2 linked regions of the Ovis aries genome follow. The protein of the gene in region 2 interacts with the protein of the main gene of each other region in a biochemical or structural test. Links are inferred from orthologs where the notes say so. Each region holds a gene or a part of one and is shown on either strand. Other genes may lie near its edges. The genes, in order: SIX3 and NR4A3.

Region 1 (9,002 bases), on a different chromosome or scaffold from region 2:
TGCCGAGCCGCCGCACCCCTCCGGCGGCTTGCTGGGTGCAAAGCCGGGCGGAGGGCGACAGACAGGCGCGCAGCTTTGTGCGCCGGTCCAGGGCCAGGAGCGGCGGGGTGGGCGCGCAGCCCGGGGCTGTCTGAGCCTCCCCGCAGAGCCGAGCTCCGAGCAGCCCACCGAGCCCACCCCGCGGTCCCGCAGCTGCCAACGGCTCTCCGCTCCGGCCTGAAGCACCACGCCTGCCGCCGGGAGCCCGTAAGTTGAGAGTCCAGGGAGCTGGGGAGGGAGGCGGGGCGGCTTGTCCGCGGCACGGATGGCTGGACTGGCTCCCGGCCGAGCTGGGAGGACAGACTCGGCAGGATGTCGATCTAAGGTGCTGATGGGAGGTTGGTGGGGAGGTGGAGCGGTAGAGCTTCCCCTCCCAAATTCCTAGACGCTGGGCGTTGGGGAGGGATGTTAGGAGAAGGACCTCGGGTTCTGGGGCCCAGGCTGCGTGCCCCGCTGCTATGGGGATCCGAAGTGCTGGGCAGCGCGAGAGCCGGGAGGTGGGCCTGGGGGACGCCTGGAGGAGGTGGTGCGCAGGGGGCTCCTGCTCCCTGAGTCTCTCAGAGAAGGGAGATCTTGACGGCTAGGTCGGCCGCGGGGTCTCTAGGTGTCTTCTGCTCTCTGGCCGCTCAGACGCCGGGATCTGGGATATGGCACCAGTACAGGCCGAGGTCACAAAATTGTCACCATCGTCTCTGCTTTAATCCTGACCCAGGCGATGGGAAGGACAGCAGCACAGCTGATGAGGGGAGAAAGGGCTTTTGGGCTGGAAGTTAGCCTTCTCTTACCAGGACCTACTGGGCATTTACTTACAAATGTCATTCCCAACCGAGGCAGTCTCAACCACCATAAGAGGTGTCTAAGATAGTCCCACGCTCTCCTAGTTTCTGTTACCGGCAAAGCCAAGGGGTCTGGAAGCCTCCGAGAGAGGAAGACCCGAGGGCTGGGGCAGCGGCACCCACTTGACCTCGCTCATCTCCATAGGCCAGTTTGTCCTGGGGGGCAACGCTTGTCCGGCCCCCAAGACTTCGGGAGGCGGGAGCTGGCCCGCTGTCTGGGCCTCCCCGCAAGCTGCAAACTGAGGCGCTTGGCGCCGACGGCCAAGGAGGGCGCAGGGGAGCGCAGCACGCAAGCGGGGAGGCCGCGAAGCCCTTCAAGGACCCCGATTACTTTCCTTTGAATGAAAAACAACAACAACAACAACAACGGCTCCCTTTCCCGCGCCCCCGCCCCTCCTTAGCCGCCGGGCACCCGCGCTCCGAGTAATTGTCGACCAGGACAGTAAACACAGCTCAGTTGCCTCAACTTTCTCCATACATAAAAGTGCCCGGCGTGCGGGGAAATTTGAATATTTGATCAGCCCCTTTGAGTGACCCTCATTAGCCTGGCGCCCTGCTAAGGCCCCGACATTGCAAGAAAGCTGCTGGGCCCGGCATTTGTATGCCTTGTTAGCGCCGCTTAATGAAGCCGCCCCGACCGCTCAAAGGCGGCCTCCCGGCTGGCGGCGCACACCTCTCGGCACCCCGCTCTGCCTAATGAGCCCCACCGCCAGCCGAAGGCCCCTCTGCCCCCCACATCCCCAAACAAGAAAAGTTTGGCTCCGTCTTGGGCCACCGTACCTCCCACTGTCAGGCCCAGGAGAGTGGGCACAAACAAGGCCTAGCTGGCTGTGGTTACCCAGCCACAAGAGAAGAGGTGGGAGACTTGGGGAGGGGGGGGGGCAAGGGGTGGTTTGTGGCCTTTGGTTGTAGCCTAAGGAGAGCGCTGCCAACATTTCTCAAGAGGGTCAATTTCAAATCAGTCACCCCAGTTCCTTAAAGAACTGCAAGTGGACTAACCTTGGTGTGGCAGAGAGTAGATGCCCATGGAGGGTCAGCTTTCCATCTCTTTCCTCCTCCAAATTCCTTTGGTCTCCACTGCCTAGGAGGCTGCTTCTTTTTTTTTTTTTTTTTTTTTTTTTGCAGAGATCCCGGGTATAACAGCCAGAACTGGTGTGCTAGGGCTTGGAGTTAAGGGGTGGGCACACCATCATTGCTCCCACCATCCACAGACCTCAAGCACAGTCAAATGTTATGATAGTTGACACTAGGAAAGGCAAGGTACCACAGTGCACCCTGTCCTTGCCCCCAATCCTAGCCACGATGTCTCTTGCTTTTTTTCTTTCATCGCACATCGGGTCTCCAGGAGGCCTGAAAAAAAGCACTCCAGGCAAAAGGCCACTCTGCACAGGATCAACCCGCTGCTAGGGTAAGACTAAGGCTAAAACAGGCCTGAAGGAGAAAAAGAGAGGGAGACATGTGGAAAGAAGGAGGACTAAAGCACCATCTACTTCTCCTTTTCTTGGTCGGACAAGTGACATTGTTGACCAGCAAATGTCAGGAACCTTGTTAGCAGTTGGGCTTCAGTGCTTTGAAAGAGTAGACTCCTTCCCCTCTCTACCCCCTCTCTCCCCTGATGTCCCTTTCCCTGGACAGTTGTTACTCAAGGCCCCTCCTTGCTTACCCAGCTCTTGGGCTTTTAAGGGTTACTTATGGCGGGATTAATAGACAGAGCTTGGAAAGTAGGTTGCTCTCAGGTCCACACTCTGGGCATTCTGGAGGTGCCCACCCCCACACCCCCATGCCCACGATCTCTCAGACACACATGGGCTGGCCAGACTGGTAACCTCTGGATCCCATTCCAGAATGGCCACCTCTAGGAATGAGTGGCTCCATCCAGCTCTCATCCTCTGCCAAAAGGCCAGGTAGGCCTTGGGATGGCACAGCCTTCTGAATCCATCTGGCCTGCTCCTCTTCACCTCTCTCCCCCAGCTCAACTGGCATGCTCCGCCCCTTTTTCCATTCCACGACCTCCTAATTCAAGCCCAAACTGAAATCATCTCTGCCTTAGGCAAGGCAGTGCTTGGGGCCTTGATCCATGCAAAGACCAAAGGTAGGAGCCAGGAGGAGAGGAGTTGAGGCTGTTGGAGAGAAACGGGGTCCTAAGGCGGAGGGTATAACTCAGCTCTGTGGCCCCAAGGCCAGGCCCACCAACTGCTCAGGGGAGGAGGCGAGAGGAGGGGGCTAGGAGTCCGCGGGCCTCGGGACAGGAGGGACCTGAGGCGTCGGCGTGGGGGGCTAGATCCATAGGAGAGGGGCGGGGAGGCGGGGGTCGGGGGAGCGCGCAGGGCGAGGTGGCGAGGGTGGGGGGAGGTTTGCGGTCTTTAAGAGCCACACTGCTGGCAGGAGAAGCGCGAGGCCGGGTGCTGGTAGCGCCTTGACCCCGAAGGGGATTTAGCGGGAAGGGAGCGGCCGGGCTCCAGGGGCTTTGTCCCGGGGCAACCAGAGAGGCCGAGGCACAAGAATAAGGAGCCACCGCGTCTTTAAAGGCCGCGAGGAGGCGGCGGGGCTGCTGCTCTTGACTTCTGAGCGGGGCTTAGAAAGCCTGTCCCGGCTTAAGCCGAACTGCGAGTGCTGGGCCCTGAGCGCCGAGTCCGGGGGCTCCCAGCTCCCGGCCTCGGAACCGAGGAGGCGTGGGATGAGGGGGACACTGTGGTGGCTAGAGACCTGGCAAAGTTGCTTTTGGCTCTGCAGCCGCCGGACCCTGTTGCTGAGCTGCGAGCCTGACAGGCTGCGCCAGGCATGGCCAGAGAAATAATTTTCTTTTTCCAACTTGGGCGTTTGGTTTTGTGTGTACACCACGCGCAGCTCCGGAGCCGGCCGACCCCACACGGATTCTCAACAGGTGGCCAAGTAAGTCCATTTAAGAATTCTGGTTCTCGCACCAGCTCCTCCCCGGCCCCCTTCCCTTTTCCCCTCCCAGTCCCCCCCCCCCCCCCCCCGGCAGCCCCGAATTCCCGCTGCTCCTCCCGCGGGCGAAGGCGGGAGGAGGCAGTGAGGGAGGGACTGAGTGGCACTCTCTCCCGGGGGCCCTCCGGCTCCCAGCTGCAGACCAGCACGGCTCCACCCAGGACCCGCGGGCCCGATCACCCTTAGGTCGGTTATGGGCCTCGGTGCTCCGAGGCATGTAGGTGGCGGAACGCGCCGCAGCACCTCCAGAGTGTAGCGGGCCGGATGGGGACCCGGGACCCCGTGGCCGCGCGGCCTTTGTGGGGAGGAGGTGGGGACAGAAACCCACCTATACACCCTTTCTTATGAGAGCCCGGGATCCAGCCCCGGGGGAGCAGTCGCCAGCTATATACAGCAGCCTGCAGAGGAGCGTCTTGGGGGCCAGGACTGGGGACAGGTTGGGGGAGGTGGAGAGGGCAGAAGCGGGAGAAGGAAGCAGAGAAAGGCAAAGGCAAGAAATCCGGAGCGTCCGAGTGAAAAGTCAGAAAAATGTCCTCAGAGCGCGCGGGCAACACGCGCTCGCGCCCGCGGGTGCACATCCTCTCCCTCTCACACACACGCACTCGCACCCACTCCACACAGGTAGCCCACGCACGCGGCCTTGGCAGTGCCGGGTCTCCTGCGCCGGCGCCCCAGCCCAGCCGGGAGGGAGTCGCCCTCCTACTCCCCTTCCTCGGCTGCCAAGAACCCCTCCGCCCCGCCAACTTTGCCCCGAGACTGATTGGGGAGCTGGGAGCACCCCCACCCCTCCCAGGTCTGGGAATCAGGGAGGATCTTACCTGCGGAAAGGTAAGGGAAGCCGGGAGCAGGAAGCAGCGGCGGATAAATATTCATTAGGAAGTGTGTCTCCTTTTAAACCGCGCGGCGCGCGCTCTGGCTCCTATCTGTCTCCCTCCCTCTGTCCTCTTGTGAGGCTCTCTCCCCCTCTCGCTCAGTCTCCCCCCAACCCCCACCCTTTCCTGCGAAATGCCGGGTGGATCCCTGTCTAGCTAACCTGTTGGGAAGCCTGAGCTGCGGGCAGCGCCTCCACAGCTGTTTGCCTTCGCTCTTGGGGCGCGTGTTCCCCATCCTTCCTCCCTCCTTTCGCCCAGCCCCTTACCCCCTCCTAAATTACTACATCATTAGCTTTATTTTCCGGTGGGGGGGGGTAACGGCGCAGCACGATGCACCTCCCCAAAGCAGGGCGAAAAGCCGGAGATTTCAGAAGCTGCCCAACTCCATCTCAACCAAGTGTAGTTTTTTTCTTCTCCATTCTTTTCATCTCCACCTCCACCCTGTACCAGCACTACTCCATCCGGATCCCCGGCTGGGTTGGCAGTGAGACTCCAGGTCCGCAGGTCCTGTGCTCGAGCTTGGGACTTCACCCTGCACTGGACGTTGGGATAGCTCTCTGAGTCCCCCTTTCCCACGTAGGTTTTCTAGGTTGACCCAGTGTGGGCAGCTGGGCAGCTTGGAATTCATGATCAGAACCCCGGGGGCGTATAGCAGGAGCCTCACCTCTCCAGGCCTCAGGGGCCCCGGGTCTTGGCCCTTTGACCGGGCCTGGGAGGCTGTATGGAGGGTGGGAGAGAGGTGGCCTCACTTTGTGCGAATGCCCAGGAGATAGGCCGACGCACTGACAACAGCCTTTCACGAACAAACTGACCTGAAGTTAGCCGCGAATACTCATCCTTCTCACACTCACGGGAAAACACATCTACAGGATTCCAGGAACGCACCGGTCCCCGCACCATCCCTGCGAGAACAGCTTCCAGTCGCCTGCTAGCCACCCGCATTCCCATCCCAGCACGCCGGAGGCCAGCGCTCCCGCCGGCTTCGGGGACTAGAAGACGCGCGGGCCAGCACGGCGGCGCCCGGCGGAGGGATACATCGCACGGCGGTCGCGGCCTGACCCTGACCACCCCACTTGGTACCCTTCCTGTCCGCTCCAGGCCCTTAGGCCTCTCCGAGGACTCAAGAGATGGCGTGGCCCTTTAGGGTGCGTGGCGGTGGCAGGGGCTCAGGGTCCGGCAGCCGGCTGAGCTTGGAGCGCCGAGGTGGGGGCGGGAGGAGGGGCCGAGGGGGCGGTCCCAGGCCAGCTCCCAATTACAAATACAACCGGTCCCGGGAGGAGGCCGAGGAAGAAAGTTTCTCCCCTAAAGACGTAGATTACTCACCCTCGAGGCGCCTGGACTTTCATTGTTGGTTCCTAAAAGGTCCCCAGGATCCCGGGGCGCCCTGGTCCAGTTGGTGGCCTGCGTGGAGGGGTGCAGTGGCGCGCCTCCAGGCGACTTCGCGAACTCCCCCACCCCTCCCATTTGGCCTGGCCCAGCCGAAATCCACCAAGAGAGATCCCAAAGGCCGTTTCGACCCTTCTACCCCCTCCCCCCACCCAAGGAACAAGGCTCAGGATCCTCGGAGGATCGCCCTCTTCCTGAAAAGTTAAGATGGGGAGGTGTAAGGTGTAAGAGAGGCCTAGAAGGCCCTGGGGCCGGAAAACCGTATTAACCTCGCGCCCCACCTAAAGCCCCGAATTTACACTTGCACACTTCCTCCTCTCCACGCAGACTCAGGGGGTCGCATACGTCGGAGCTCAGGCTTTAAGCTGAGTCACCTGACTGTACACGGAACGTACATGCAATTGTACCCGAATGCACGGGAGAATTAGAGGAATACTAACAGCAGGATTGGGGAGGGGGGGAAGAAATGTCCACAGACAGTATTATTTGAATGAACGGGGGCACACCCAGTTGTGCAGATGCAGACAAAAGCCGCAGTGGCCGCGCGCGGAGTGACCCCAGCCGCAGGCAGGTGTGCAGGAAGCCACATACAGGGAGAGTGGCTCGAATGAGGATGCGGAACGCGAGGCCAAGGGCTTCCTGCTAGAGAGACGGACGTTGGCTCCCCGAAGGAGAAACTTTGTTAAGCCGACTGGGTGAAACGTTCCAGATCAAGTGCTGGAGACTAGAAAGAGCACCGCATCCACCCCAAAGCTGCCCCTTTTACCTTCTTCTAAGCTGGGCTGGAGACCCCCAGAAGAGGGCAATCCAGAAAAGATTTATTTTGACCCGGATTATTTGTTATTACTGTTGGTTTATGAGATTGTGTTCTGAAGGATGGGGTGGAAAGCATAGACGCCTTCACGCAAAAGCTGGGAGATTTCTAATAGGAATGTTCAGCCCCAACCAGGGTTCAAGAAGCCAGGGGGCCCTTATTTTGCCCCCCTATTTCCCTTTATGCCAAATTTAGTCGTTAAAAAGAGCCTTAGCTAGCTGCATCCTCTCCTACCTTCACCTCCACCCCAATTCCCTGTATATCAAATCCACAAAAGAACACTCCAAAGCAAACTGAATTATTTGGTTTGTCAGACTGATTTTCTTGGTGAGATATTGTGAAGTTCTCACTCCCTATTGCTCAGTTCCAAACAGAACCTACTGTCCTGGTCAACTTGGAAGTCAGGAAGGGGGATTTCTAGAGTAGCTCTCCCAAAAGCCAAATGCACAGGCTTGATTGTGGTTTCAGCTCTTTTTGCTTGCCCCCGTCCCAGTAAACCTTCCAGATAGTAGCCACCATGGTTTTCCTGCAGAAGAGGCTAGCACCCTGGGTGTAATGGTGCCCTTACATCCACTTCACTTCCCTCCCTAAATCTCTCTCTAAAAGTAGAGAAAAATAGGATGGGGAGGGAGGAAGAGGGTTTTCTGGGCTAGCAAGTAGATGTCCATCCTGCAAGGGGGTAGAGGAAGGTTCCTCTTGTGAAAAAGAGATGAGCTATTTTGTAAACAGGGAAGGAGGGCAGGTTGAAGCAGATGTATAGTTGCCCTAGAAATGTAGAGGGTAGAGTAGGGATTTGAATAGGAAAGAATGTCTTCCCTTTGGGGGTCAAACCCTCTGCCCTTTCTCCCCCTGTACTTAATTCCTGGAAATTTTAGCAAGAGTCGTTTTGAACAATAAAGAGTGAATCACTTTAAAGTCTGTTAATGTTTCTTGGAAGGGCAGTTCCTTTCAAGACCTTTTTCTTTCTCCAGGTCTGTTTTTCCTTATTCTGTAATAAGGGTCCACCTGCTGTTGTACCTCAGAAGGAGACTGTGGCAGAAGGGGTGGGGGTGAATAAAGGGACCATTGCTCCCACACCCGAAGCGTAACTTCCATTCCCTGTAGCTGAGATTCAGGACATGTGGAAGCAAACTCCTTTCCCTTGGGGCATTTCTTTCTCCCCTTTGGATAGTTTATTTAGACCCTTTCCAATAATAAATAACAGTCAGCATTTTAGAGTTGGAGATGTTGGCTATTACTTACCAATGAATTCTACAAGATTCTCCAGACTGCTTGTTTGATTTAGAAAACTCCGGTTACATAGCTAAGCTCATCGCAGCATTTATCACTCAAGCAGAAAAGCAGCTCGTTTTCTCATAGCCCCACATGCCCCATGTACACTCACTGGAGCGAATTTATTTTACTCTGTGTTTCCTAAACGCCCTTGTCACCGCTGCCCAGCCACCGGGCTCAGGGTAAAACTAGGGAGGTTTGTGACCTCTGGAATGGGGGTGCACTGTGTTGTTAGAGTTTTTTGTTGTGATGAGTTCTTAGTGATTGTGAGCTCCTCTCCCTCCCTCCCTCCCTCCCCCGCCCCAGCCTCTCCCTCTTTCTCCCTTTCCTTGGTCCCAAATGAGCCAACGGTGGTTGCACGCGTCTTCCTTACGAGAAACCCGCCGCTCAGATGGAAGCAAACCATTTCCGCTGCCCGGGGCAAAGGGCTGAACTTCTTGGTCCAGTCCAGTGCTGCGGTGGGAAAGTGTGTGTCGGGGGCGGGGGATGTCTATGCGGGTGGAGGAGGGGCAACCATCACCTTCCACAATAAAAATAACCAGATGCCCCTTTAATCCCTCCCGTTAACAGTGTCCTTGCGCCAGAGAGGCCGTCTCACCTCCAAAGGCGTCTTCACCCCCGGAGGGCCCAGGCTTCCAGCCACAGCCCGGCAACTTTGGGCCCGCGCGCCCAAGAGGAGGTGCTCCGACGGCAAAAATCCCATACCTTTTTAACTACAGTGATTACTAAATTAATAGCAGGCACTAAGACAGATGTCAAAACGTCTTGAAAATGTTTATCTGTGAATAATTGAGAAGGTGGTGGGACGCATTATCTGATTGTGTAATGAAATAT
Region 2 (8,230 bases):
ATTCTTCTGAAAATATGAATGTTGGATTAGATTACCTCAAGATCACCTCCAGTTCTCTGAATTCTTAAATAAAAACTTTAAAGAGAAGGTAATATAAAAACTGAATTACAATGAGTGATATTTAAAAAATGACTGAAACCATAAATTATACCACATAAACTAAATATATGTGATGGTACCTGGCTCAGAGTAGACTTTCAATAAATTCATTTTGCTTCGTTCACTTTATGTTAATTTTTTTTAAGAAAATGAACAAGCAAATTCAATCTTGTGAAGTAACAAGTTACTTAACAACACACATTCTCATATGTATATGTATATCTATTCACTTGCATTTAGGGACGATAAGGTAGACCCTAGAATCATGAAATCTTAGAGCTGGAAGGAACTTAATATCAGCCAAAACAACCTGTCTCCTTGTGAGGAACCCTTAAAGAGTTCTCCTTAAGTTTCTTCACACTTCCATAGCAGTTCTTGGAGCCAATAGAACTCTTTCTTGTCCTCAGAATGGACTGGAAAGGCCACTTCCTTCACCCTCTAGATCTGCCCTTTGGAGAACAGTCCTCTTGGTAACATGGCAAAAGTGTGACCTAGTCCCATCATACCTACTCTCTTTCTGTCTACATATTACCATTTCCTCCAACTATCCCTTTCAAGTTTTTAAAAACAGTGTATCCATTGCCCTCTTAAATCCCAGCTTGGAACTGAACTCCATCCTTGAAGTGTGGACTGACAGCGCAGAGCCCATGGGGCACCACCAAGTTAGTCCTGGTCCTATCCTTCTTCTGCAGAGGCTGAAGCTAATTTAGCACCCCTCCTTCCACCACCTAAACACACTGGTGGTTCTTACTGAGCATAGGGAATAAACTCCTGAGATCTCTCAACATGAACCACTGAGAAGCTAAGTCTCTCCCATTTAAAAAAATTCTAAATGCTGAGCTTCACGTTTATTTTTGTTAACTTTCTCCATGATGGTTTCATCCATCCTGTTCCAACCTGTCGAAATCACTCTGAATGTTGATACTGACATCCATCATATTAGCGATCCCTCCCAGCTTTCTGTCATCTGCAAATGTGATCAGCATGCCTTCTATGCCTTCATCCAAGTTTTTGATGAAAACTCACTGTATTTTTTAAAAAAGACTTTTAATTTAATTGATTTGAGTCCAATTTTTGATAATTTTGTAAAGCTATCTAAAAGCAGGAGAATCCAAGCTATGAGGTTCGATCTGATTCCAAAACAATGCAATTAAAATGGATATGCTTTGCAAAATTGAACCAGGCCCCAAAGGTAGTATCATCGTGACCCAGACTCTGGCATGGTCAATCTGCTATTTTGGACAAAGCTAACAATTAAATTGGATAAATGTTTGTTGATGAGGATGATGACTCTAGTCTAACACACTGAATGGTGCAGAAGCAAGCAAACATAGTGGATTGATTTTTCAGTGTGGACAGTTCCCAGCTGGGACAACTCAAAGTATGGGACAGGGTTCACCACTGAATAACTAATTAGGCCACGTAGACCAATAATTGGATGATTTGTGCCCCTGCCATCATCACTTTGTGGATAAAATTCTTTGGACTGGCCATGGTCATTGCCAATGCCCTAGTACAAGGTCAGATTGTGTGTTGTAGCCTCAGTGGAGGCAGTGCCAAGAAGTTTCATTAATTCAGACAGATTGCATAAGGGAAGGCCAGAGTTGGTTCATGGAAAAGTCTTTATTCCCAAACACTTTTCCATCATCCATTCTCACTGAAACCAGAGAGGCAGGAAATTGTGGTCTTAGGAGCACAGACTTTGCGGGGAAAATTGGACCAATTGGCTTCTAATTCTATCTCAGATACATATTAGCTAGGACACCTTGGAGAAGGAAATGGCAACCCACTCCAGTACTCTTGCCTGGAAAATTCAATGGATTGAGGAGCCTGGTAGGCTACAGTCCATGGGGTTGCAACGAGTTGGACAAGACTGAGCAACTTCACTCACTCACTCACTCATGTGACCTTGGGCAAATCAGTTCTTTAGGCTTTCTCACTTTTAATCTCTTCATCTATGAAATGGCAACCATCACACTTACCTTAGTGGTTTTGCTACATAGCACCTGACATATGTAGTGTTTATACTCATTAAAGCATTCAACAAATGACAGAATAAGAAGGTATGGTCAAGGAGATAACATACAGGGTACTGAGCTAAAGCTCTGACAAGTATCTTATTTAAATTTTATAAAAACAATCTTGGGAAGTAGATATTATTATTATTGTTCCATAACACAGATGAGGAAGGTGAGATATTAAAAGATTTAATCAGTTGCTCAAGGTCACCCAGCTTGGAATGTATTGGTCATTCCAATACATGACGGTATTGGAATTTTACTTGAAGCCTGCACGGTTCCAAAGCCTTAGCCCTTTAACCACTGCATTATTCAGTTAAACTATTATTTGAGACTTGACTGCAGTCAAGAGATGCTACTTGTAATCAGAACAAGAGTCCTCAACCTTTGATGCTAAGGACCTACCATGCTTCTCATAGGGAGTCTTGTGCTCCAGAGTGCAAAGGAGGCCTCACAGCCTAAAAGGAGGGAGGGGATGAAGGAAGGCAGATCACAGCAGGTAGACCAATCACCCTTTCATTTCCATCAACACTACAACCTAAGAAGAGGGCAACAGCAGACACACTCACACTCTTAGCCAACCCTTCAACCAGAAGTTCAAGATACTGATTGGACCTGGAGAAAGCAATCTGGTAATTGCTACCAAGCCAAATCAACCAACTGGGGATCCCTTGACTGGTTTCTCTCTCCTCTGTGTGGAAATTGTGTTTGTAAGTTTCCTTGTCTTAGAGTGGGAGTAACTATTCTTACAGTTTATGGTTCTTTAAATGGTTGTTAGATGAGACAAAGTACAATGTCTAGCATGTAGAAATGGCTGAATAATTATGATCTTTTTCCTTTCTTTCTTTCTCTGGTGAGACCCTGCCTTACTAGAAGTTTGCTTTTCTAAGTCTCTTTTAAAATTGTCTTCCAATAATATTTATACATTTGCTCAGAAAATCGTTCTTCTTCATGTTATCCAAATTTCTGGGAATTTTCAGGTTTCAAACTGATGATATTTCACTATATCCCATATCAAATAAAAGTGTTGATATATTTTGGTTGACGTAACAACACTGGTGGTCATTTTCAGTTTCAAATGTTTTCTCAACCATTGTTCCTATGTGACTGATGTTCAAAACATCCCTCTGAGGTTAAATATTGTAATCTCCACTGTAAGGATGAGAAAGCCAAGAGCAGGAGCCAGGTGACCCAGGCAGGAAGCAGCAGAGGCAACATTCCATCCCAGTCATCCTGATGTCAAGGCCAGAGTTTGCTCCTCTCCATCAATGGTCTAATCCCTCTCCATAAGCAGTAGGTCAATCAATGCCAGTGCAACTGGGTAAACTGTTTAAGGATAACTTGAGGCTTACCCAGCTGGTTTGGTCACAATATGAAAAACACAGTAGTCATGTTGTCTAAAGCACGAAAGAAATGTACAAATTGTAATTCACCTGTGCAGATTTTCATTGGCATAACCATCAGGAATCCTGCAACAATGGGTATGACAGGTGCAGCACTGTCAGGGTCATTTGTTAAGGCATTTAGAGATTCAATAAGGCAAAAATTATTTGGTGCAATGGATGCACTGGAATTGCTAAGTGAAGTGAAAAAATAGAGAAAAGATATGAAAATGGTTGAGCACAGTGCCAGACACAAGTCATTCAATCCAGGCTTATTACTAGCATCATGAATAGAGACCCTGATCATTCACTCAAAAGCAGGATATCATAAAACTTACTCTGGAATAATCAAGATCTCTGGGCGTTGAGTCTGTTAAAGCTCGGACAAGGGCATTCATCATACAGATCGGAGGAGAAGGTGGAGAGGGCTGAGAGGCTTCCTGCTGTAATGGGCTCTTTGGTTTGGAAGGCAGCCGACCTCTCCTCCCTTTCAGACTGTCTGTACGGACAACTGATACCAAGAGAAAAAAAGAAAAAATGTCTCCAAAGATATCCACAAACAGCCATAAATCACAGAAAGGAAACAAAACACTTTACAGCTGAGCAAATCATTAATGAGACTGACTGTTTAAAAGTGGAAAAAGTTTGGAGTAATATCCCCACAATGATTTAATGAGAGTTGAAACAGCCAGCATAACAGCCACCCCATACGTACTTTTGGTAATGAATTAGCCCTAAAAGTCTCCTTCTCAAATAGAAGAAAGATGTATGTACACAAGCTCTCTATTGATTTTGAGAAATTAGAATAAGCAGACCTCTGCTATTTTTAAATGTAAATACACCATAAAAATAGAATGCTGAAAGGAAAGGGAAACTAGGAAAATTCACCATCCCAAATGTAAATATTAACTTTTTTCAGGGATATCTGAGAATATTTACAAGCAAGTTGGATAAAAAGCATTATACCCATACCTTCTTTAACCATTCCGACACTGAGACACTTCTGAAATCGACAGTACTGACATCGGTTTCGACGTCTCTTGTCTACGGGGCAGTTTTTATTTGCCAGGCAAACATATTTTGCATTTTTCTGCACTGTTCTCTGAGGAAATACAATACACAGATAGTCAACTAATAGTTTCTGGAAAGAGGTAGGACCTGACAAGATGTATTTTAATTACAATGTGAAAAGCGACAGTGCAATTCGTATAATTAGATAAATTTAATTTCCTAACACACTAGCCTGCAGGAAAAACAATTTTATTAGTGTTAGCTGCTGACAATGAAAATCATCTCGGATTGTTCTGAAGCAAGTCTCAGGAGACATCCAAGTCTGAATGATAAAATCATATCTGAAATTACCAGGTCAACATATCATACCTTGGAGGATTAAATTATCTTCACTTTTAATATCCCCTTGGGAACAATTTTCTACTTGGTCCACTCCCCTGATTATTGCTGACCTTATTAAAATAAAATCAAAATTATCTGGGATATACTTTGTTGCCTATCACTATTGTAAGTCAAATGTCACAGAAAGCGGCTTTGTCCACCAATAGAGATGAAATCATAAAGAGCAAAAATGAGGACTTCTCTAGGTTTAACATATAGGAAATAAAGTTTTAATGCAAAAACAAATCACTTAATCAGCCTTTGCAGTGTATTTTATTTTTAAAAGAATGGTAAACTGTCCATTTCTGACTTTTGAAAGAAAAGATTTAAAACTGGATACTAAAAACCACTATCACATCCAAGAAAAAACAAACAAACAAAAAAGAATGAGATAAAGGAAGGAATATGAGGGCCATATATTTTCAATGAAAATTCCCATTAATAGGTTATGTCATAAATGACTATTGACATGAACAAAATAGCCATATTGTAAAAGATGCAACATTAAACTTGGGTCTGGATATAAAATAATGTTGTATTCTTCAGAATCACATACACTTTTAAAATGAAACATGAAATAATAAAAGATATTTTATGCTCCAGATACAAGAGAATGCTTGATTTAAAAAAATAAAAATAATTTGTGCAAATGGATGTATATTCACCACTCATTCAGAAGTTACCTGAATCTATTCAACTCCAAATAGAGCAGAAAGGTGAATTTATTTGGTAAGCCTGGGCTACATGAAAAAAAAAAAATCTAGGTAATCTAGGACTGGTGATCTATTTTGTATCTAAAATTCTAGATTTACTTTCTATCTTTTAAATTTTCAGCAATTTTCAATCCTCTTGTATCTGTTTTTACTCTATCACCTTTTAATTTCATTTTAAGGGATCGTTTCTAAACTGCTTATATAAAATTTAAAGCTAGATACATTTTCCCTGCTTTAGCAGGTGATTTTAGTTCAAAATGAGAAATTTCAAAAATACAACATACTTCTCATGTTTCCAGCATTTAAATTTGCAGCAGTCTGTAAGGGTAGGAAACCTGTGTTTCCGGAATGAAGCTCTCTTTCATTGTAATTAAAAGCTCTCTTTCAAAGTAATTTTAGAAAACTGTATTTCTTATCATCATCCGCAAGGATATACCAATTTGAGTGCTGGTGGCATTTTGCTTCAGGTATATGTTTTCCCAATAACCTGAAACCTTCCTAACATTTGTGTGTGCTTGCACAACTGTTTAAGGACAGGGAGAGATCGTTATGGTTCAATCACTGAATTCCCATCATTAACTGCACTTCATGTCACATTTTTAAAGAATTCAATTTAATGGTAGAAAGCCACTGGGTAAAACCTGCTCCTGCTCCCTTAATTAACAGATCCGTGTGTGGGGTGGTTCTCCCCTATCCTACCCCCACCCATTCAAGTATAGATTTGTTTTCGAGGTATTGCTGTAGAAAAAGGATGCTTGTTGGGGAACACAATTGACATTTCTAGACCAGAAATTTATTATCACTCCTGCATTTAGGTCAACTCTCAATTATTCAGGGGTGGTTATATTTATGGATTACTTATACTTCTCATAATTGTTTTTCTTTCTTTTCCCCCTTCTGGCTGCCTGTTTCACTGCCTTTTAGCATTTCCACTGAAACACCGTAAAAATCAAATCTGCTGAAGAAATGCAGTTACTTGACAGAAAAAAAACGGCTAAACTGATGGTTCTACATTTAAGACATCATAATCTAGCATACCTCTTGTATGGTGCTTAATATATTGTAAAATCTTTCCACAACTATTTTCTCATTTGTCTGTAGAATTTAATTAATCATATGATTCCTATCTCCAGATCAAAAATAACTGTTGCTTATTGGTATGTATACCAATGTACACATGTGCATTTTTCATAAATATTTTGTAGTTTTCATTTACGATGTACTATTCTTTTATGACCCTTTAAAAATTATATTTTCAAAAATGTTTTATCTCATTTAAAACTAACATTTCTTCTCTGCATTGTATTCACTTGATAGGGAAACTGAGGTCTGGAAGAAAGTGTCTACCCAACATCATAAAATTGATAGGTGACAGATCAAGGATTCCTTTCTGGTTGTTCTGACTCATAATTCCAGCACGCTCAAAGATCCAGCCTATTGGCCTCCCAAATCCTCATTACCCAGTCAGCATCCAGCTTCTCCTCTCTCTCCACCCTGGCCAGCGCTGGAGCTTAGGAAGTGAGAATTGTGGGAGAACATTCTTGGATTTGCAAATACCTGATGCAATGACCAAGGCAGTGAGAACAGGGAGGGTGGTGCAGAATTAAGTGTCTGGGGTTCAAGAGCAAAAGTAGAGCAGTAAGAGAACAAGGCCTCTTCTCTTTGAGTGGTGCGAAGAGCACTGAACTCCAGAGTAGCAGAAACTAGCTGGAACTGTCCCCATGTGCCACTAAATCACCTCTTTAACCTTCAATATCCTCATGGGTAAAATAAGGGGGAGACTGAAGACCCCTCCCACTGTAAAATTCTCCTTTGGGTCTATGAGCTAATGAAGAGTGTCCACACTTGGCCTTGTGTGTGGCACAGAAGTGGAGCAGATTGATGAGACTCCAGCTTCTCTCTTCTGCAAGGGGAGCTGCCCCAAGCTTCATTCCCCAGATGTCCCTGTCTCTTCTTCAGCTGTTGAACTGTGAAGAAAGCATGCACTTTGGGGTCAGGCAAACACCAGTCGGCATCCTGCCTCCATCTTACTTTCTGAGTGTGTGTCTAGGGGCTGTTGAATAACTTCTCTGAACCTCCATCTCCTCATCTATAAAACAAGGATAACTAATTTAAACCCTCAAGATGCTGTTCATAAAACTAGCTAGTGGGTTGCCAAAATTCAATCTCAGTTCTGTCTGATCTAGAGTCCTAGCTCTCACTAGGAGGATTAAATGAGATACAAATACCCAAGGCCTGGCACACAAGGCTCTATTCCTTCAGACATTTGGGATGGATAGAAGAGGAATACAGAGAGATGTGTGCATTTTTGAGATCACAGATCCCTTTGCGAATCTTCTGAAAGCGCTCTCCAGAAAAAATTGCAGCCGGTAAGGCCCATCGGGAAGTTCACAGTCTCTGCAAGCCCACCTGGGGCAGCCTCCTGTGATGGACATCAAGTTAAAAGGCCCCAAGAAAGTGGGTGTGAAGGTGTTAGTAAAGGCTACAGGAATGCGCAGTGACATCACACCTCTAATGGTCAGGACCGGGAAGGACCCGAGTAGATGCTCTCAGCGGGTGGCTGGGGAGGCTGGCAGTGGAGGGGAGGGGACCCGGGAGGAGGCGAGCGGCTCACCTTGAAGAAACC

The links.
Region 1: the proteins of NR4A3 (region 2) and SIX3 form a complex in vitro, tested with the Homo sapiens proteins (3 studies listed by BioGRID). The link is inferred for Ovis aries from reciprocal best matches to the Homo sapiens genes NR4A3 and SIX3.

Annotation. Positions count from the first base shown.
Region 1 is NC_056056.1:79,390,253-79,399,254, forward strand, and holds the start of SIX3 (homeobox protein SIX3), read right to left. Parts: upstream 4,746-9,002; 5' UTR 4,698-4,745; coding exon 4,643-4,697; intron 3,768-4,642; exon of another isoform or gene 3,270-3,767; intron 247-3,269; exon of another isoform or gene 1-246. UniProt on the Homo sapiens protein: Transcriptional regulator which can act as both a transcriptional repressor and activator by binding a ATTA homeodomain core recognition sequence on these target genes.
Region 2 is NC_056055.1:48,001,753-48,009,982, forward strand, and holds part of NR4A3 (nuclear receptor subfamily 4 group A member 3), read right to left. Parts: coding exon 8,219-8,230; intron 4,602-8,218; coding exon 4,472-4,601; intron 4,011-4,471; coding exon 3,838-4,010; intron 1-3,837. UniProt on the Homo sapiens protein: Transcriptional activator that binds to regulatory elements in promoter regions in a cell- and response element (target)-specific manner.